4 linked regions of the Macaca fascicularis genome follow. The protein of the gene in region 3 purifies or fractionates together with the protein of the main gene of each other region. This does not show direct contact. Links are inferred from orthologs where the notes say so. Each region holds a gene or a part of one and is shown on either strand. Other genes may lie near its edges.

Region 1 (5,226 bases), on a different chromosome or scaffold from region 3:
TGAAAAGCTGTACCTGATAATCCCATATTTTAACAAGACGGTCATCTGCACCTGAAATGAGGTATGGTTTGTCCCCACCACTGTAGTAATCAATACAATTCACGCCCTTCTCATGTCCTTCCAAAGTGAAGTTTGGTGACGAAGAGCCCAACTGCCATACCTGCAGAGAGAAACAGCATCTGCCAGTCAATATGGGGCCTTGCTTTTCAAAAGGCAAATCTACCACATTTCTGACACAATATGTAAAATGCCAAAGCCCAGGAGAGAAGAGCTATGAAATTTTATTTTTTATACTGTTTGGTTTTTGTTATTTCTCATTTTACTTGAATTCTCAGGAGCCAAAATCACTATGGCGTTCTTTAAAAGAAGTGCCAATTTTCAGGCTTTATCTCTAGAGATTATAATTCAGTCAATCCACAGTGAAGCCCAGGAATCTAGATGTTTAAGACTTTGAAAAACACCACTTTAAGGGTATGAAATTATTTTATTATAGATTCAATATACACCTCATGAAAGTGGATTTAGTAAGATATATTAAAAGTGGCTAGGTGTGGTGGCTCACACCTGTAATCCCAGCACTTTAGGAGGCTGAGGTGGAAGGATCACTTGAGCCCAGGAGCTCAAGACCAATCTGGGCAACACAGCAAGACCTTGCCTCTACAAAAAAGGAAAAAGTAAAAAGTTAGCCGGGCGTGAAGGCACACGCATGTAGTCCTAACAACTCAGGAGGCTGAGGCAGGAGGATCGCTTTAGCCCAGAAGTTTGAGGTTACAGTAAGCTGTGATCATGACACTGCACTCCAGCCTAGGCAACACAGACCATAACTCAAAAATATATAAATAAATAAAAATGAAGATATATTTAAAGGAGAAAATTACTGCCTAAAAATTTAAAATGTAGAAAATTGTTAAAAATTACCACAGCACAGAATTAAGCTTTATCTTTACAAATATTTACTGAGTGCCTACCATATGGGAGGCCCTGTGGGGAGTATAAATATGTGTAACAAATGTTTATCAATTACTGTATAAAATAAACTTTACTGGAACTGAAGATAAGACAATTCTTGCTCTCAAGATAAACCTAATTTAGTAAAACAAAAGTTTACAACTAATTTCAAAGTTAATCTATGTCAAAAGCAAGGAAAATCCAAAGGCAAAATAACTAAGGTCAAAACCCTAAGATATTCAGACACATAACATTTTACATAAAGGAAAACTAGTAACAGTGTTTTATATAGGTGAAAGCAAGCGTGTAAGCAAAAGTTAATTTATTTTAATTCAATGCATATGGAAATATTTTATTTTATTTATTTATTTATTTATTTTTAGATGGAGTCTCGCTCTGTCGCCCAGGCTGGAGTGCAGGGGCGTGATCTTGGCTCACTGCAAGCTCCGCCTCCCAGGTTCAAGGCATTTTCCTGCCGCAGCCTCCTGAGTAGCTGGGACTACAGGCGCCCACCACCACGACCAACTAATTTTTTGAATTTTAGTAGAGACAGGGTTTCACCATGTTAGCCAGGATGGTCTTGATCTCCTGACCTTGTGATCAGCCCGTCTTGGCCTCCCAAAGTGCTGGGATTACAGGCGTGAGCCACCACGCCCAGCATGGAAATATTTTAAATATTATGATTTAAAAAGGGAGCATGATTGCCCTCATTGCAACATGTATTAAGCACCTAGATCAGGTAAGGCACTTTGCTGTTTGCTACTGAATGTTTGGGGAAAGGGAGTGACACATAGTTTCTACCCCCAAAATTCAGTATTTCAGGGGATAAAGATTTTCAAAAACATGTAATTAAAATTCATTCTGAGAAAGGCTGAAACAGAGGCAAAAAGCAATGGAAGAAATGGGATAAGCATAACTGGCTCTGCCTAGAGATGAAGTGGATGTCTGACAAGAGCTTCTCAAGAGTAAATATTTGTGCTAAGCCTTAAAAGCTGAGTAGTTCTCCGGAGGAAAAAAATATCAAAACAGGAAAATAAAGAGAAGTGCAGGCAGATGGAAAAGTTCAATGAAGTAAGGTTTTGTGAACATTCATGGCCTCTAGAGGATGGTGAGTAGACCAGGGTTTTAGGAGATGTCGCATAATATTAGCCCAGGCTAGTCTTGGAAATCCTTGTATTCCACACTAAGGCATTTGGACTTTATCCTTAGATCAGGAACTGACAAGATGCAATCTATGTTTCAGGAAGATAACAGACAGCAATGTGGTGAAATGGAGTAAGAAAGACAGAATAGAGGCATATGGAATTTAAATGTAAAATAGATGAACGATGAGCAGAAGTCAACAATGAATACTGAAAGGAGAGGAAAGTAGTATCCTAGAAAGGATACTGGCATTTTTCTTATTCTGGGTTTCCAAAGGCTAAAAAATTTTTATAACATGCTGCTTCCACACAGAAAAACACTCCTCATTAAGAGCACTGAGTTGCCACAATATTTTTCAAAACAGAACATGTCCTTTGGATTAAAATGAGAAATCCTATTTTTACTTCAAAATAGACTTTTGAAAAAAACTTTTAAGATGGATCAATTTCTGGCCAGTCAATAGTAAAACACCTAAGGCAAGTATAGTTCACTAATAATGATAACTGACACAAACTGTGGACACCCTACCTTGATAGTCCTGTCCAAAGAGGCACTGGCAAACTGATTGTTATCTTTGGGGTTGATCACAATCTGCATAACATAATGGGTGTGTCCTTCAAACACTTGTGAGCAAGACCATTTTTTATCCCAGTCCCAGAGCTTAATAAGCATGTCATCTAGGCCAAAAGAAAGTCTCAAGTTAGTTGTGATTTCTATTTTTTCACTTCATAAGTAAGACACAGTCTTTAGGGGAAGCAAACCTAACATAAACCACATAATCCATGACTTACAGAAATAGAATCAAAACCAAATAGCGTTTTCAAAATGCTTATTTATCTTAAAAATAAATTTAACTCTCTACAGAAAAGTGGAGATAAAATAAATAAAATAGATTAGAAATAGCAAATATAAAAATTTTGTGAAAAAACTTAAAAATTCAGTGAGCATTAAAGAATGAGCAAAGAGTCATACAAGTTTGATTAGAATCTAAGCGTGACTGAATACTGATAGCAATGACTATGTAGAGAACAAGCATTTGCCCTCACAAGACTGGTTTTTAAAAAGTTTTAAATTACTTCTCAATTTTTAATTTAAACACATTTCAAAGAGCTATTACCAATTCAGTGCTACCTCTTTTGCCAGTCCTCCAAGAGGTCTACTATTTATACACAATACCAAGGAGCAAACTAGTTTGAATATGAAGATTGAACTGACTAGGCTCTATGGCAATCTGCCAAAAACTCACTCATCAACATGTAAATGACCTTTCTGTTCAGCAGATGTTTAAACATCTAGACTTGTAGGTCTTCTCTGACAGGAATTGGAGCAATCATTACACAGATCCTAAGTACAGTTGATACTTCATTAAAGTACAAACACAAGCAGCATCAATAGCACAGTAATGGATCTAAACAGTTTAAAGGCTGCTTGGAATTAGAATTCTATTTGTAACAGCAGTTAAAGAATAGCATGTCTCAGTGAATGAAAATGAATTACCCAAAGAGACGCACATGACCAAAATAGGTCATCTCTTACCACTGCTAGTTAGAATGAAAGGCTGGGTTGGATGAACAGCAATACAGCGAATGTAGTCTGAGTGTGCTTCAAACATATGAACTCTCTCCAGAGTATTGTAATTGAACACTCTAATCTGCATGTCATCCTAGAAACAGAAATTTTAAAACTATCATCCCTATTATCAAGTAAATTATACAAAAAAACTGCATCACAGGCTCAAGGAATGAAGTCTATGCTTCAAAACAGTGCTGTAACTAACAAAACAAACCAGGAATCGAAATCCTGCAACTAACTTACATAATCATTCACCAATTCAGAAAACGGGAATAGAGATTCATATTAATTACTTACTGCTCCTGTCACAACCCAATTCTTCCTTGCAACAAACTTTGCAGCTCGAACAGGAAGATCACATACTTCAAATGTCTTCACCAGTGTCTTTAAAATGTAAAAAGAATACACAAATTGAGCTGTAAGAAAATAACCACAAAATCTACTCTGTTATATTTCAAACATCCAATTTTTAAGATCACTTCTCATTTTAATATATTTTCAGGCTAAAATATAAAAGGTCAACACTAAAATTTTTTAAAAAGACAAATTATCTTTTAATAGATTCAAAATTAAAACACTTTTTAAAAGACAAGAGAAAGCAAATGTCCACAAGATGGTATTCCAGATCCTCTGTGCTCCAGCCCTTCCCTCTCTTTTCTAGCCTCACCTTTGGCTACTCCCAGCCTTACCTCTGCTCTTGTTCTCTCTGCCTTGAAAATCCACCCATGGAAACTTGTACTTCCCTTTCATAATGTAGCACCTCATAATTATGTTTGTGCGAATCTTTCCTGCCAAGCTCTCCAAAGGCAGGAATATTTTTCACACTGTATAGACAGAAGCTAGAACAGTGGCTGGCACACTAAATTAGTGTGTAATAAGTATTTGTTGAATGAATTAGCTCTTAGTTTTTCTTTTTTTCTTTTTTTTTGAGACAGTCTCACTCTGTCACCCAGGCTGAAGTGCAATACAGTGGCACAATCTTGGCTCACTGCAACCATCGCCTCCCAGGTTCAAGTGATTCTTATGCTTCAGTTACCCAAGTAGCTGGGATTACAGGTATGCGCCACCATGCCAAGCAAATTTTTGTATTTTTCGTACAGACAGGGTTTCACCATGTTGGCCAGGGTGGTTTCGACCTCCTGGCCTCAAGTGATCCACCTGTCTCAGCCTCCCAAGTGCTGGGGTTACAGGCGTGAGCCACCACACCTAGTCAGTTTTTTTGAAATTGAAACCCATAAAAGTGACTCATGAATAAGGTACAATTCTTTTGCATGCTTTAGCAATATGATTCCATACAAATGTTATTATTTATTTTTTTTTTTAAATGAAAACACAGTGACCTGTATTTTCCTCTGAGCTACTCAGAATGGAATTATACACACAGGATAAAGGTAGAAAACTAGAAGACCCTCCTAGAAAAAGCAGAGATAATGGTATACCTCTATGTTCTCCTTCTTTGATGCCTGTTCTTAAAAGTCTGAAAGCCAAACTATCATTTTCCAATCCTTTTTTGTATCAGAGAGCAAAAAAGAAATAACTAAGAAACCAATATAATCTTACTGC
Region 2 (5,226 bases), on a different chromosome or scaffold from region 3:
TCCAAGACACTTGCTTCTGTAACATCTTTTTCTCAGTCTGTGGTAACTCATCAAATTGCCTCAAAACATAGCAGTACTCTGCTCCAGCTCTATCTTCTCCATCCCCTTTGTCTTCATTTCTTTGCCTCAACTGGACAGATACATTGAGACTAACCTTTTTTCTCCCAAGATTGTAGTTGTAGAATCATTAATTCTCTTTATTGTTCCCTTTATCTTTCTTTTATATCTTGTTCCTTCTCTCCCAGACTATTACTAATATGATTTTTTTCTTTTTCTTTTTCTTTTTAATTAACAGAACTGTGTTTTTGTAAACTATTTTGAATGAAACATTTCATAAATTATATTTATGGTCACATAAGTTTGAAAATGTGGGCATAAAATAACTCCATTACATATTAAGCATATTAAAGTTGCTAAAAATTGTGAGTAAAAAAAATTTAGGCTAGATGCAGAGGCTCATACCTATAATCTCAGCACTTTGGGAGGTCAAAGCAGGCAGATCACTTGAGCCCAGGAGTTTGAGATCAGTCTGGGCAACATAGTGAGGCCCTGTCTGTACAAAAATTACAAAAACATTAGCTCGGCATGGTGGTGTGCACCTATAGTCCCAGCTACTCTGGATGCTGAGGTGGGAGGATTGCTTGAGCCTGAGAGTTTGAGGCTACAGTGAGCTGTGATCGTGCCACTGCATTTTAGCTTGGGCAACAGAGCAAGGCCCTGTCTCAAACAAACAAAAAAATTTATGCTTAATTTTAACCTAGCATTTCTCCACATATTTAACCATGGAATCCAGTGTTTTAGAATTCCTATTCCTTTCTGTCCCATGCATGTTGGGAAAGGCCACCCTAGAAATATGTAATGTCTGTGTTTGGATCTTTAAAGTCGAGTAGGACTTTTGGCCCTGCTTGTATCTATAGGGGAAGTGTAGGAGTTTTGTTCATTCATTAAATTACAAGCCTGTCCTTAAATATGTGTGAATTGAATGTGTGAATGTAGGTGAGGATTTTGAGTAAAACCAATGAGATATTTTAGAACAGATGGTATTATTATGTAAAAACTCATAATAATATGACATTGAGTTGTGATGTTTGACTACTCAGTATGAAGCCTACAAGTACAACCCACTTTAAAGAGTAACAGTATAGGTAAAAGTATGGAGTCAGCTAAAATATTTGAGTACTTTTTAAAGCAAAAAATTACTGTCTTTATAGGAAAATAAATTCAATTTGTCAGAAACTTTTGGAATACAGTTAATTGTTTATATCTTAAAAGTAGCACTAATTTATGTTTAATTATAAGCATATAGATAAATGTCTTGAGTGGGTAAAAAAAATTATTTCTGCTATAAATTTATTTCATTGTTAAAATGCCCCTTATCAGGAGTTAGAGCAGGCAGAAAAATAGTCCACACTGCATGTTTCCCCTTGTCCTCAATTTGTGACTTTTCAGAAGATGCTTATCACATACCTGCTGAGAAGGCAGACAGGCTTTAGTCAAGGAGAGGTAGGTCATACAGAAGTTGTTATTCCAAGTAAGCCAGTCATGTTGGAGTTCTGGGGCACTGCTGTCTAATAGAGATTTCTCCAAGATGGACATGTCTTATATGTGTACCATTCACTGCAGTAACTACTAGCCATGTGTAGCTGTTGAGCAATTAAAATGTGGCTAGTGTGACTGAGGAATTTAAATTTTACTTAATTTTAAGTAGCCACTTGTGGCCAGTGACTACCACATTGGACAGGACAATCAGGAATAAATTTCACCAGACCCAGCATTTTAAAATAGGGACTTATTTACAGAAAATTAGGTTGTAAATTGTTTACCTTATGAAAAGACTCTTAATAGTATACCTTTTAATAGTACATTAAAAGTATTTAATTATAATTAAAATCAATATTTAAGTATCAGAATGTTTTGATAATAGTTTTTATTTGTAATGTTTTGTTCTAAAATACTTTTTCTTACAGATAAGAAAAAATATGAAATTATTAAGCGTGATATTCTCTGTGGAAAGTCAGTGCCACATTATGCTGCTATTGAGCCCGATGGAAATGGTCTAATGATTGTATCCTACAAGTCTTTCACATTTGTTCAGGCTGGTCAAGATCTTGAAGAAAATATGGATGAAGACATGTCAGAGAAAATCAAAGGTAATTTTTATTCTTAAAAGTACTTGTTTGTATTTGCGTAAACATATATTTGTCTTTTGTTTTCCCAGTTAATAGTTCTACACGGGCAAGATAAATGCATAATTTTTTCTTTATTTTCTCATATATTTTCCAGAAGTCTTTTGGAACGTATACCACCGTAATAGTGTGAATGAACTGGTTTAATTTGATCATTTTGTTATTACCAAAATGTTTTTTTAAAAATCGTTTATTAGCTTTCTTGATTAGATGCTTAATAAATAGTTATCAAATAAATAAATAATGTCTATTTGCTATTAGTATTGATGGTATTAATAGTGTAATATTGAAGATACTAATTTTTAAAAATAAATTAAGCTAACCTACCTGTTCTTACCTTTTATACTAAACTGAAAGTAAGTTCCTTGAGGGCAGAATCACATAATTTTATCAATGTTGAATGAATGCATGAAGGTTATGTTTTAGCATGAAAAGACTGGCCAGACACAGTGGCTCACGCCTGTAATCCCAGCACTTTGGGAGGCCTAGGCGGGCGGATCACAAGGTCGGGAGATCGAGACCATTCTGGCTAACACGATGAAACCCCATCTCTACTAAAAGTACAAAAAAAAAATTTGGGCACAGTCCCAGGCAACTGTAGTGCCAGCTACTTGGGAGGCTGAGGCAGGAGAATCGCTTGAACCCAGGAGGCAGAGGTTGCCGTGAGCCGAGATTGTGCCATTGCAGTCCAGCTTGGGCGACAGTGAGACTCTGTCTCAAAAAAAAAAAAAAAGATAAGACTAACAAGAAATTTCAGAAGAAATTTATATTTGTAAATAAAGAACAGACATTCTTTAAAAACTATTCAAGAGAACATTCCTCTGTAATAATTACTGTTCATATTTCTGATGTTCATAGCCAGAGAATAGTATATTTTACTTAACAGAGATTTTTACAATATTTAATACTTATACATATTTTTCTTTGAATCTACCTTTTTTGTTAAACAAGTTAATTATTTAAAAAAATTGGTTTTACCTTTTTATTTTTAAGTGAAATCACATTGATTAAGAAAGTAAGGAAATAAAAGAATGGCTACTCCATAAGCAGAGCAACCTAGGTTTAATATTTTTGGATGCCTTAAAAAATGAATTATTTGAAAAATATTTGAAAATATTAATGTAGTGTATAATTGAAAAATATTTTCCACAGAGTTTATAAATATATGCACCTCTGAATACAAATCTTGAACTTAGTAGGCCTTTAGACTTTTAACACCTTGGTTTCCTCATATGGGATTCGTTTTTTGTTAGATTATCTCTAAGATCCTTTCCTGAATAAATGTTACTATTCTGTCTAATTAGGATGCTAACCTCATCTAAAGCTTAGCCAGAATAGCTATTTATTTCTCTAGATCATGTGTCTTTAGAATTCCTTTGGTAAGCAATTGTGAGGGAGTAGAATGAATGCCTTAATCTTTGGAGCCATTCTGCCCAGATAACTTGGAACCATGTAGTTCCAAGAGAGATTGAAGCCTAAGTGGGACACATCATGTGTTTAAATTACTACCACAGGTATTGTTTTTCTTGATAACATCTCATGCTATATCTTGACTTCCCCCCAAATTCATTGTTTATTTTGTCATAGGATTTTCACAGTAATAAAGGAAAAGTGTTGTAATTTTTAAAAATTATGGGTAGTTTGGTCATTGATTGGCATGTGTAATACTTTCTGAATATTAATATATATACTGGTTTCCTTTCTGTTAACTTCAGGAAGACTGGTATTATCTATTGGCTGTTTGGCATTTTAATAATATGTTTTTAAAGACCTAAAACACAATCTCTAAAGGCATAGAAAGGTACTCAAAGAAACCAATAATTAAGAAAATTATTTCGGTGTTTGCATACATTCAACAATGTATACAGTGGAGAGGTGATTAAAAAATTGTGACTTTCCCTTTAGTCTACATCCATGGCCTTTAATTAATTAATACATTTTTAAAATTTCAACTTTTATTTTAGATTCAGGGAGTACATGTGAATGTTGTTTTACCTGGGTGTATTTGCATGGTGCTGAGATTTGGGGTACGATTGATCCTGTCACTCAGGTACTGAGCATAGTACCCAACAGTTATTTTTTAAACCCTTTCTAGCCCCTCTAGTAGTCCGTAGTGTGTGTTGTTGCCATCTTTATGTCCATGAGTACCCAGTGTTTAGCTCACACTTATAAGTGAGATCATGTGGTGTTTGGTTTTCTGTTCCTGCACTAATCTGCATAGGATTATGGCAACTTGCTATATTCATGTGTCTGCAAAGGACATGATTTTGTTCTTTCACCTGGCTGTATAGTATTCCATGGTGTATATGTGCCACATTGTTTTTTTCAGTCCGCTGTTGATGGCCACCTATGTTGATTCCATGTCTTTACTGTGGTGAATAGTGCTGTGATGAACATACTAGCCCATGTGTCTTTTTGGCAAAAAAATTACATATATATATATATATATCCAGTGTTGAGATTACAGGGTTGAACTGTAGTTCTGTTTTAAGTTCTTTGAGAGATCTTCAAACTGCTTTCCACAGGGGCTGAATTAATTGACATTCCCACCAATAGTGTATCAGCATTCTCTTTTCTCCACAGCCTTATCGGCATGTGTTGTTTTTTGACTTTTTAATAACCATTCTGACTGGTGTGAGATGATACTATCCTTGTAGTTTTGATAGTGCTGATGATTAGTGATGAGTATTTTTGCATGTTGGCCATTTGTATGTCTTGTTTTGCGAAGTGCTGTTCATGTCTTTTGCCTATTTTTTAATGGAGTTATTTGTTCTTTGCTTGTTCAGTTGTTTAAGTTCCTTATAGAGCCTTGATATTAGACTTTTGTTGGGTGCATAGTTGCAGATATTTTCTCTGATTCTATAATTTGTTTACTCATAGTTTCTTTTTCTGTGGAGGAAGTCTTTCATTTAATGAGGTACCATTTGTCAGTTTTTTTGCTGTTGAAATTACTTTTGAGTACTTAGTCATAATTCATTTTCAAGGCCAGTGTCCACAATGGTGTTTCCTAGGTTTTCTTCTAAGATTCTTACAGTCTGAG
Region 3 (5,824 bases):
TATAAATCATGCTACTACAAAGACACATGCACACGTATGTTTATTGCAGCACTATTCACAATAGCAAAGACTTGGAATCAACCCAAATGTCCATCAGTGACAGACTGGATTAAGAAAATGTGGCACATATACACCATGGAATACTATGCAGCCATAAAAAAGGATGAGTTCCTGTCCTTTGTAGGGACATGGATGCAGCTGGAAACCATCATTCTCAGCAAACTATCGCAAGATCAGAAAACCAAACACTGCATGTTCTCACTCATAGGTGGGAACTGAACAATGAGATCACTTGGACACAGGAAGGGGAATATCACACACTGGGTCCTATTGTGGGGAGGGATAGCATTAGGAGATATACCTAATGTAAATGATGAGTTAATGGGTGCAGTACACCTGCATGGCACATGTATACATACGTAACAAACCTGCACATTGTGCACATGTACCCTAGAACTTAAAGTATAATAATAATAAAAAAAAGATAAGCAAAAATAAAATCAATAAAGTTATAACAGACCTGAAAAAAAAAAATTCAAGGAAAAAAAAAACTGGGTTTGTACTGAACATGTACAGATGTCTTCTTCTTGTCATTATTCCCTAAACAATACAGCACAACAACTATTTACACAGCACTAACATTGTACCAGGTATTATAATCTAGAGATTATAACCTAGGTATTATAATCACAGAGATGACTTAAAATATATGGGAGGATATGTGTAGGTTATATGCAAATACTACACCATTTGTATGAGGGACTTGAGCATCTATGGACTTTAGTATCCAATGGAGGTCCTGGAACCAATTCCCCACTGTTATTGAGGGAATATGAATCCATGAAACAAAATCATATTTTCTAAGGCCCTAGACATTACATGAGTTTTTTTTTTTAAAGTCTGGGGCAAAAAAAAAAAAAGAAAATTAATAACAATAGTAGCAGGCAGAATCTGTATTTCATGAGTGCAAGTATTTTTTGCTGGTTTTGTCTGCTATATCCCCAACACCTAAAACAGTGCACAGGACACAGCAGCTATGCAATAAATATTTGCTGAATGATGGAAGGAAAACTATTCCTGAATGCTTACTATGTGTTCAGTACTATTCTCAGTGCTTTACACTAATGATCTCATTTAGTCATTACAACTCTGTAACAGGTATTATCATAATCCCCATGTAGAGAAAAGGACATCAAGGCACATAAAATGGTTAAGCTACTGCCCTGAATTATTTTAATAGCAATGGTGAGGTAGGGATAATAAATATAAAATCTGAATATTAAAAATCAAAGCTTTAAAACATCATGATTACACACAAAAGAAAGAAAATACCTGGAATTTGCCTGATCTTGCACTATATTTTCAGAAAAACATGAAGATCTCCAAACACATGTAAACAATATGTTCTAACTAGTACTCATTAAACTGAAACCAAAGGATTTATTGAGAATCTACTACGTGCATCACTAGCTTAGGATCTCAAGAATGAAGAAGAAGTACAGGTTAAACATCTCTAATCTCAAAATCCAAAATCTGAAATGCTCCAAAATCAGAAACTTTTTGAGTGCCAGTATAACACTCAGTGGAGACACTCATTGGAGCATTTTGGATTTCGGATACTCAGAGCAGGAACAGCCAGTATGTATTCTGCAAATGTTCCAAAATCCAAAAAAATCTGAAATCTAAAACACTTCTGGTTCCGAGCATTGCAAATAAGGTATACTCAACCTATATATGTCATAGTCCTCATACTCAAGTCTTACATATTATTTTGTTAACCAAACGTTATATATGTTAAAATTAAGTGAATTTAAAATAAATAAATATTTACACTTTCCAGAAAGTATTTCATTGAATCTTCAGTATTTGTATTCCAGGACACACTTATCTGAGGAAAATAAAAGTAATTTACCTGGTTTAGTAAGTAAAGAATTTTCGTAAGAATATGCAAACATCTTCTTGGATTGATTGGAGTTTCATTGAATATACGAGCCTATGAAAAAACATAAAAAACACTGTTATTTTTCTACCTTTTCTATCATAGATTATAGCAAATCAACTTTAATACAGACTATTTTTAATCACAGTATCCAAAGAACATGGTCTATAGTTCTCAATTTACTAAAGCATCTGATAAATTATTACATGTGGCCCTGATTTTCCATCCTATTTATTTCTAACTCATTCCCTTAGGTTGACTACTTCAACTTTACGGGCTATACCAGTTAAATAAGGATCACAATACTGATCTGTATCATACTAATACAATGACATTAATACAGATAACTGATTTCAATAACCTTGCACTAAACACCCCTTCTTATATTTAAAATTCCCAACCTGTAACAGTCTTCATGTCTTTGCATTTCTATAAGCTCTAAATTCTCGTGTGACAAGTAACCCCTCTTCCTTTTCCCTTAAATCTATATTCCCTAAACTCTGTTACGTTCCTTATTTTGGGTGTTGTGATCACAGTAGCCCAGGAATTCGCTGCCCACCACTCTAAAACAGAATAGAAAAGAAAAGGCACAAAATGCTTCCCAGTCATACCTCCTGTAAAACAGCACTCTTCTCCAGATGCTGGAAAGGATTTGAGCCACTACCTATGTATAAAACAAAAAAATGTCCTGAATAGCTGTTTTACACAAACTTATGTATTTTCCAGAGAAGGGTACTGAATGCTTGGTAAGTGAACACTTGGATGGCACAGTGATAATCATTGCTAATATGCATACAAACTAAATGAAATCATTCTGATCCTGGCTCCGTCACTGCCACACTCGAAGAGCTGAGACTTCTCTTTTGCAGCAACCCTCTCCAAAATGAGTGTCTTCTTTCCCTGCCCTCTTTTTCCATGAATGTTACAAATGTGTCATTTCCACAACGAAGATTAATGAGATTGTGGTAGGGTGCTTCTGATTTCCTTAGGTAAGCACTAGTTTGTGTGTTTCTAACACTTAAGGAGAGGCAGAAACGAAGTTTCCCAGAGAATCACGCAGACGTAAACCTTCAAGAGGTCGTGGAGGTTGATTAACCCAACCCCCTCTCACACCGTGGGAGATGCTACCAAACACTGGGATTTTTTTCTTTTTGAGGATGCTTGGCATCTTCCCCATTTGCTCTGGACCAAAGACGGGTATCAAAACGCAGGTCACTTCTGGACGCCTGAGCATTCAACGAGCTGTGTCCCAAGGCACAGTCTTACCCCCGGGGAACCGGACAGAGCCTGGGGTCCCAGGAAAACGATAAGGTACCAGGCACCTGAATGTTCCTCCACACACACACCCTGTGCCGTCGACCCCAGCCCCGGGAACAGGGTGCTCCCACTCGGGGTCCGACCCTACCAGTACCCCTGGCCGCGGAGACGCGCGCACGCTCTCGCCCCCGCCGGGGGCCCGCGCGAAGGGGCGGAGGCGGCTCGGAGCGGATGCGCCGCAGCAGGAGCGGGGCGCGCGCGGGCGCCGGGGCGGGAGCGCGCGGCCCGAAGGGAGGCTCCGGCGCCTGGGGGAGGGGCTACGGGCAGGCCCCCGGCGGCCGCGAGGGGAGGGGAGGGGCCGGCTCCAGCTCCGGCCCCCTGGCACGCCGGCGCCCACGCCCCCAGCCCCGCCGGCCCGAAAGCAGGTGGCGGCGGGCGGGGGAAGGGGCGTCCCGCGGCTGAGGGTGGGCCTCGGAAGCCCCGCGCGTACCAGACTCCTCGTCCTTCTTGTCGAATTTTTTAATCATCTTGGACGACTTCCCAACGCCCAGACCCACCGCAACCGTCCCAGGCGCCGCAGCCGGAGAGCGGAAGAGGCTGCAGGAAGGCCGGCCCCGCGCTCTCACGCCGGTTGGGCCGCCGCGCCGTCACTCGGGGCCAAGGCCCGCCCTCCCCGGCCTCCCTCGTCCCCCGGGGACGCAACCACGCCCTCTCCTGCTTCCGCAGCCGCCGGAGGCTTGGGCCAGACCCTCCCGGCCCGTGACCCGGGAGCCCACGCCCGCAGCAGCAGGAATGTGGTTTTATTTGGTTGGCGACCTCTGCGGACCCCTCAGTCTCAGGAGAGCGAGGCGGGAGGACTGAGGGTTCTGTGTTCACCCGATGACCGTGGCCTTTTTGATAATCCACTGCGGGGCCCTCCCGTTGCGGAAGGCGCTCTCCCCGGGCGCGGTTCTGGTGGGCATCTCTTCCAGGAGCGATGCGAGTGTCAGTGGTTCCCGAATCACCTTGGAAATCGGCCTTTCACTCGCTGACTTCTTGGAAGCTACGACAAAGCACAGGCACCCTGGTGAACGTGGCTTTTCAGAAGTACTCGAAGGATGCTTAATGTGAGATATGAAGGAGACCCACTTGAAGGGACCTTTAAAGGCTGGTCTTTAAAGATTTCGGACCGTGTAATACCATTCCCAACCTATTTTATAGTTTTTGGATTCCTTCATTTCATCAAAACCCAGTGTAAAACACACTGCCTGTTTAGAGCCTTCTTTGTTCAAGCCTACTTCTTCCAGTGATTCCGTCTGACACCATATTGACACTTAAGAAACTCTCTAAATTAACGTGCATTCATTCCTAACTCATGTTCCTCTTTCTGAGTGTATGCTGGCTTTCTGTTCTCTTGTCTAAGAGCGTGGCTAAGAAACTTTGCCTTTGGCTTCAGTGGCATTACTGTTTAGAAATGTAAATTGAGTCTATACTCAACAGGATCGTGCCCCTGCAAAATTAGAGAAATTCTAACCTAGATTACATTCTACATCCTAGGGAAATTCTTTCCCTTAAATATAGATTTAAGATGAACTGTTGATATCCTACATATGGTATCATTTAAGATTTACCTCCGGCTTGGCTAAATGTACTATTATTAACTACTATGTTTGCTTTATATGGCTTGTAAAGTTCAAGTTATACTTTGTAGGTGGAGTTTTCCTTGAAGGAAATAGAAGTCTGCACGCATTTATTCTGGAGGTGAAAATAAATAGGCTTTGGGGAAGGAAACATCCTCTTCCTCTTCCTTGGCCCAAGAGTATTGGGAACCTAGGCAGACACAGTGTAGATAATAGGCCCAGAGGTTCCCAAGAATGGGTAATGCCCCGGAGACCTGCTGGGAAGTAGAAGGACCTGAGTTCACATTTGAAGCTGACCCTAAGACTAGCCCCTTGTAAAGCAAGATAAATCATTCTCTGCTGTTCTTCAGCTTTTCTGTGTATCTATGAAGTTTTGTTTAATACCACAGGTTGGTTTTAGCTGTGCAGTGTTTACGGAATTAAGAGCAGCAGTAGGTGAAAATGGGGTGGGGTGTGGTGGCAAATAGGTATAGCAGGAGCAGAGAAGCCTGAAGAAGCCAGTTAAGGGATGGTATAATATGACTCCAGGTCTCTGGTATCAGGACTATTTGGACTGAGGATGGCTGGCAAAGGGGTTGAGCAATCACTACAATGGCTTTGTGGGAAAGGCAAGGATACTTTAGGGAGTCTCCGAAATTGCTTGAGGAGAGAAAGCTAGTAGGAGAAATGAACCTTGTCTTAAAACCATGAGCTGGTGAAGTCTGAGGACCCACCAATTATGTATCTAATCACAAATGTGTACTCAGTGCCCTGAAATTCTTCATTGGGTCCAAACTGCCTACTGAATAAAATCCAAACCCTTATTTAAATAATAAATTTAAGGCATTGTGGTATTTTTGATATTTTGTTATTGTTATTTTTGTTATTTATGTTTTGTTATTGTTGTTCGTTTTTCAGACAGGGTCTACTCTGTTACCCAGGCTGGAGTGCAATGGTACAATCACAGCTAACTGCAACCTTAAACTCCTTGGCTCAAGCGATCCTCCTTCCTCCAGCCCCCCAAGTAGCT
Region 4 (5,226 bases), on a different chromosome or scaffold from region 3:
CAAAACCTCCTAATTCATTAAACATCAAAAGACACAGGCTTTCACAAAGGACCAAAAACATAAGGTGGAAGTGAGAGCACAACAGGAAGAGGACCTGTGGTTTCTCATAGAAATAAATTCTGCTACATGATCCCACAATTCAACATCTCTTTTAGCCAAAAGTTTATAAACAGAACTTTCTTGTCACAGTCTTCTACAATGTCTTTACCAACTGTATGTGTGTTACCTGATGTCTTAGGTAGAGAAATCATTAACCAAGCAATAGCTGAGGTGACAGGAAGGCTGTAGAGTTAGTGTAAAAAGCATGGACTTTAATTGGCTGGGCACAGTGGCTCACACCTGTAACATCTAGACCCTGTCTAGACCCTGACTCTATCCCAGCACTTTCGGAGGCCGAGGCAGGCAGATTGCTTGAGCTCAGGAGTTGAGACCAGCCTGGGCAACATGGCAAAACCCCGTCTCTACAAAAAATACAAAAAAAATTAGCCGGCATGGTGGTGGGCACCTGCAGTCCCAGCTACTTGGGAGGCTAAGGCAGGAGTATCACTTGAGCCTGGGAGCCAGAGGTTGCAGTGAGCCAAGACTGCACCACTGCAATCCAGCCTGGGAGACAGAACAAGAACCCTGTCTCAATTTTTTTTTTTTTTTTTTTTTTGAGAGTCTCACTCTTGTCGCCCAGGCTGGAGTGCAATGGCGCAATCTCAGCTCACTGCAACCTCCACCTCCCAGGTTCAAGCAATTCTCCTGCCTCAGCCTCCCAAGTAGCTGGGATTACAGGCGTCCACCACCACACCCAACTAATTTTTGTTGTTGTTGTTGAGACGGAGTTTCGCTCTGTTGCCCAGGCTGGAGGGCAGTGGCGCGATCTCAGCTTACTGCAACCTCCGCCTCCCGGGTTCACGCCATTCTCCTACCTCAGCCTCCCGAGTAGCTGGGACTACAGATGCCTGCCACCACACCCAGCTAATTTTTTGTATTTTTAGTAGACATGCAGTTTCACTGTGTTAGCCAGGATGGTCTCGATCTCATGACCCCAAGTGATCCACCCGCCTTGGCCTCCCAAAGTGCTGGGATTACAGGCATGAGCCACTGCGCCCGGCCTATGTCTCAAAATTTCTTAAAAAGCATGGACTTTAAGTCAGACAGATACGGGTTTGAATCCAAGCTAAGCCATTTTCTACATGTGTGACCCTGAGAAAGTTATTAGGTTAAACTACATCAAACTGCCACTTTTGTAGTTTTCACAAGGGTCACACACAAGTAATTTCTTATGGTTCTTCATGGTTTGGTTTCCTCATTTGTAAAACAAAGGCACTAATGCCTACAACTCATGGAAGTGCTGCAAGGTTTAAATAACAATGTACTTTACAAAGCACTTATACCAATAATAAGAGCTCAGTAAGAGTTGACTTTCTCAAACTTTGACTTTTGCCTCAAATTATCTGGGGGCTTATTTTTATTTATCTATTCTCCTAGAATTTGCTACCTGAGGCAAATAGCTTTTTCTGTATATAGGAAGCAGGTTAGGACTATACCCAAGGTCTTCTCAAGTGACCCATTCAGAATGTATGGTTTCAACACGACCCAGGTTGTTAGCTAATTGGCTCAAACTCAGTCAGGTATGGACCCTTCATAGAAGGAGCAAGTATCTCCCTGCAATCTTGACCATACCTCAGAAATCCATCTTAAAAAATACTACTCGGGCCGGGCGCGATGGCTCAAGCCTGTAATCCCAGCACTTTGGGAGGCCGAGACGGGCGGATCACGAGGTCAGGAGATCGAGATCAGCCTGGCTAACACAGTGAAACCCCATCTCTACTAAAAAAATACAAAAAACTAGCCAGGTGAGGTGGCGGGCGCCTGTAGTCCCAGCTACTCAGGAGGCTGAGGCAGGAGAATGGCGTAGAACCGGGAGGCGGAGCTTGCAGTGAGCTGAGATCCGGCCACTGCACTCCAGCCTGGGCGACAGAGCAAGACTCCGTCTCAAAAAAAAAAAAAAAAAAAAAAAAAATACTACTCAGGGAAGGGTATTAAAACATATATGATGTTTCCTAATGGATATAAAAGATCAATCTAGGAAAACTTCCTTTCTAGGCGATTCATTTGCCGGGCCATGTTTGTGAGGCTGGTGGGATCTCTGACAACTTCATTAACTTGGTCAGAAGCTAGAGGAACACGGCTCTATCAGGGCCCCAAACCAGTGGCTATGTACTGCCTGTGGTTTAGAAAGTAGGATCAGAAATAGCAAAGGGGTAGTAGGGATTCTTACCTCATTTTCATAGGAGCTGCCAATCACATAGAAATAGAGATCTATACTGCTTTTGTATACCACTGTCAGGCCTTCCAAGAGGGCAATTTCACCTGGTGGGGGAAAAAAAGTAGAAAGAGTGGGTGGCCTGAGATGAGGAAGTAGGAAAGAAGGAGTTATCAGCCAGGTGCAGTGGCTCACGCCTGTAATCCCAGCACCTTGCACGCCTGTAATCCCAGTACCTTGGGAAGCTGAGCCGCGTGGATCACCTAAGGTCAGGAGTTCAAGACCAGCCTGGTCAACATGGTGAAACCCCATCTCTACTAAAAATACAAAAATTAGCCGGGCGTGGTGGTGTGCACCTGTAATCCCTGCTACTCGGGAGGCTGAGATGGGAGAACCACTTGAACCTGGGAGGCGGAGGCTGCAGTGAGCCAAGATCGTGCCACTGCACTCCAGCCTAGGTGACAGAGAAAGGCTCTATTTCAAAAAAAAAGGAAAAAAAAAAAGCTATTACCGTGAATTCCTAGTATCCAGCTGTTTTGGGCTAAGGTGAGGCCAACTGTAATGACCTCCAAAGCCAGAAGATGATCTGCACTTCTTGGGTGGTGGCAGAAGAGAAGCATAAACTTGGGGGAGTCTAAATGTATCTTCTCTAACCACCATCCTCTGTTCCTGCCCACTATACCTATTTCCCTCCTTGCATATGAGACAGGATACTAGTCGATCCTTCGGAGGTGAAAATGCAGAGCGGTCACCTTTACAGACTTCCATTTACCTGCCCTAATGGATGCGGTACAATAAGCAGAGCTGCAGTTAAATTTGTCAAGTGAGGCTCATAAATCCAGGGACTAGACAGGTAGCTAACAGCCAACCTTCCAGCATGGTATTCCCGCGTGAGGTACACTCACCTCCCCATTACATTCTGAAGAGTTTATTATACAAGGGGAGGAAGGAAAAAAAAAAAAAGGAGGCAGAGTCATTTTATCCTTTCTCCGCAGCCCTGCTACCACCCCCTTTCCACCATGGTTCCCCACAACACGGGGAGTAGTGAAAGGAAAATGACCTACTGTCAGTCCGATGGGTCTTGTTGAAAATGTTCTTCTCAAAGGCCTTTTGCTCCTTGACACTGGGGTAGGTGTCGTCATAGTACTGGTCAGAGGGAAGGAGACAGGGTTGGGTCACTACAGCTGGAAGCCAGAATGATTAGTGACTATGCTTTGCCCTGGGATCTTGGATTTCTCTCCTTCAAGGCATGGGGCAAGGGAGAAATACTGACATGGAAAAGGAAGGACTGTAGAGGCAGAGAATGGGCAGTGAGTAATCTAAGAAAAATAAATAAAAGATCCTGCCATAAGCAACCCCACCTCACATTTCTAAGACTGTCTGAAGGCAGAAGCCTACCAGCCCTACGGTGAGGCTCTGTGCCTGTCTGCAATCTAGACCTCTCCTAAACCATTCTCATCAAGTGTTTCCTAGGAGCTACCCCATGTCAGGAAACAGTGCCAGAGAACACAAAAAACACTAGAAGCACAGAACACCTCCATAGACCCTCACTCACTGTATGAAGCTGAGGCATGGGGAAAGGCTACAAAAACCTCCTCCAAAGAAAGGCAAACCCTGCCCTATAGTCTATCTTAGCTTTCTTTTCTGCAAGCTGAAAGAAGCATCCAGCATACCACTGAGCCCATTCCCAGGCTCTCCCTGGCAAGGGGGCGGAGATGCAGGCTGCTAAATCGCTAGCTCTTTAGGGGCTAATCCGTTGCAGTCAGCTGAAGACCTATGACAGGTCTGGCATTTAGTAACTGGATAACTGTTTCAAAAGGTGTCCTGCATAGTTACATCCAATTACAGGGAGGAACAGCTGGTGAATTCTAAACTAATCTCTACCTGCTGATTGATTTATGCTATGCTCGCCCTGAGTTAATACACCAGGGACAGAAGAAATTTCTACAGGAGGGGGAGAATATGGAGGGAGAGAGGGGTGTCCTTTCTTCTTTCTTCCAACAGATCCAAAGTTGAAAACATCACTCTGGGAAAGTCAGGAGGTAACAAGCTTGATGGTGACTATAGACCTAGGAATGGAACCTTGGAACTGCAAGAGAATTCTCTGGAAAAACCCAGGCAGGGTGACATGGTAGAAGAGAAGGGGACAGGAATGATGGACATGGGCAGACTGCCTCTTAGCATCTACATACTGCTTTGTTAGGAACCAAGGTATCAAAGCTTTTTCCTAATCTGATGCTGACAACAAAGGAGGTCAAAGTCTGAGGACAGTAAGCAGGGCAGCAGTACAACAAAGGGACAAAAGAAAACAGGTTTTATCTGGAGTAGGCAAGATAAGATGGAAGAATTCAGGCTGAGTATGGTGGCTCACACCTGTAATCCCAACACTTTGGGAGGCCGAGGCGGGCGGATCATGAGGTCAGGAGTTCAAGACCAGTCTGGCCAACATGGCGAAACCCTGTCTCTACTAAAGATACAAAAAATTAGCCGGGTGTGGTAGTGTGTGCCTGTAATCCCAGCTACTCAGGAGGCTGAGGCAGGAGAATTGCTTGAACCCAGGAGGCAGAGGTTGCAGTGAGCCAAGGTTGTGCCACTGCACTCCAGGCTGGGCGCCAAGTGCGAAACTCCATCTCAAAAAAAAAAAAAAAAAAGGCCGGGCGCGGTGGCTCACGCTTGTAATCCCAGCACTTGGGGAGGCCGAGGCGGGCAGATCACGAGGTCAGGAGATCGAGACCACGGTGAAATCCCGTCTCTACTAAAAATACAAAAAATTAGCCGGGCGCGGTGGTGGGCGCCTGTAGTCCCAGCTACACAGGAGGCTGAGGCAGGAGAATGGCGTGAATCCGGGAGGCGGAGCTTGCAGTGAGCCCAGGTCAAGATCGCGCCACTGCACTCCAGCCTGGGCTACAGAGCGAGACTCTGTCTCAAAAAAAAAAAAAAAAGATGGAAGTGTTCTCAAAATTATACTACTG

Evidence for each region.
Region 1: the proteins of COPG2 (region 3) and COPB2 fractionate together in Homo sapiens (co-fractionation; 4 studies listed by BioGRID and IntAct, with this or other methods). This does not show direct contact. The link is inferred for Macaca fascicularis from reciprocal best matches to the Homo sapiens genes COPG2 and COPB2.
Region 2: the proteins of COPG2 (region 3) and NUDCD1 purify together in Homo sapiens (co-immunoprecipitation; 3 studies listed by BioGRID and IntAct, with this or other methods). This does not show direct contact. The link is inferred for Macaca fascicularis from reciprocal best matches to the Homo sapiens genes COPG2 and NUDCD1.
Region 4: the proteins of COPG2 (region 3) and COPZ1 fractionate together in Homo sapiens (co-fractionation; 5 studies listed by BioGRID and IntAct, with this or other methods). This does not show direct contact. The link is inferred for Macaca fascicularis from reciprocal best matches to the Homo sapiens genes COPG2 and COPZ1.

The regions. Positions count from the first base shown.
Region 1 is NC_088376.1:42,212,105-42,217,330, forward strand, and holds part of COPB2 (coatomer subunit beta'), read right to left. Parts: intron 4,048-5,226; coding exon 3,961-4,047; intron 3,755-3,960; coding exon 3,628-3,754; intron 2,769-3,627; coding exon 2,620-2,768; intron 161-2,619; coding exon 14-160; intron 1-13. UniProt on the Homo sapiens protein: The coatomer is a cytosolic protein complex that binds to dilysine motifs and reversibly associates with Golgi non-clathrin-coated vesicles, which further mediate biosynthetic protein transport from the ER, via the Golgi up to the trans Golgi network.
Region 2 is NC_088382.1:118,839,832-118,845,057, reverse strand, and holds part of NUDCD1 (nudC domain-containing protein 1), read left to right. Parts: intron 1-1,967; coding exon 1,968-2,150; intron 2,151-5,226.
Region 3 is NC_088377.1:172,181,682-172,187,505, forward strand, and holds the start of COPG2 (coatomer subunit gamma-2), read right to left. Parts: upstream 3,779-5,824; 5' UTR 3,724-3,778; coding exon 3,687-3,723; intron 3,464-3,686; exon of another isoform or gene 3,262-3,463; intron 2,604-3,261; coding exon 2,551-2,603; intron 1,994-2,550; coding exon 1,913-1,993; intron 1-1,912. Other genes in the region: TSGA13 (testis-specific gene 13 protein), read right to left, coding at 4,069-4,238. UniProt on the Homo sapiens protein: The coatomer is a cytosolic protein complex that binds to dilysine motifs and reversibly associates with Golgi non-clathrin-coated vesicles, which further mediate biosynthetic protein transport from the ER, via the Golgi up to the trans Golgi network.
Region 4 is NC_088385.1:61,190,869-61,196,094, reverse strand, and holds part of COPZ1 (coatomer subunit zeta-1), read right to left. Parts: intron 3,401-5,226; coding exon 3,319-3,400; intron 2,362-3,318; coding exon 2,270-2,361; intron 1-2,269. UniProt on the Homo sapiens protein: The coatomer is a cytosolic protein complex that binds to dilysine motifs and reversibly associates with Golgi non-clathrin-coated vesicles, which further mediate biosynthetic protein transport from the ER, via the Golgi up to the trans Golgi network.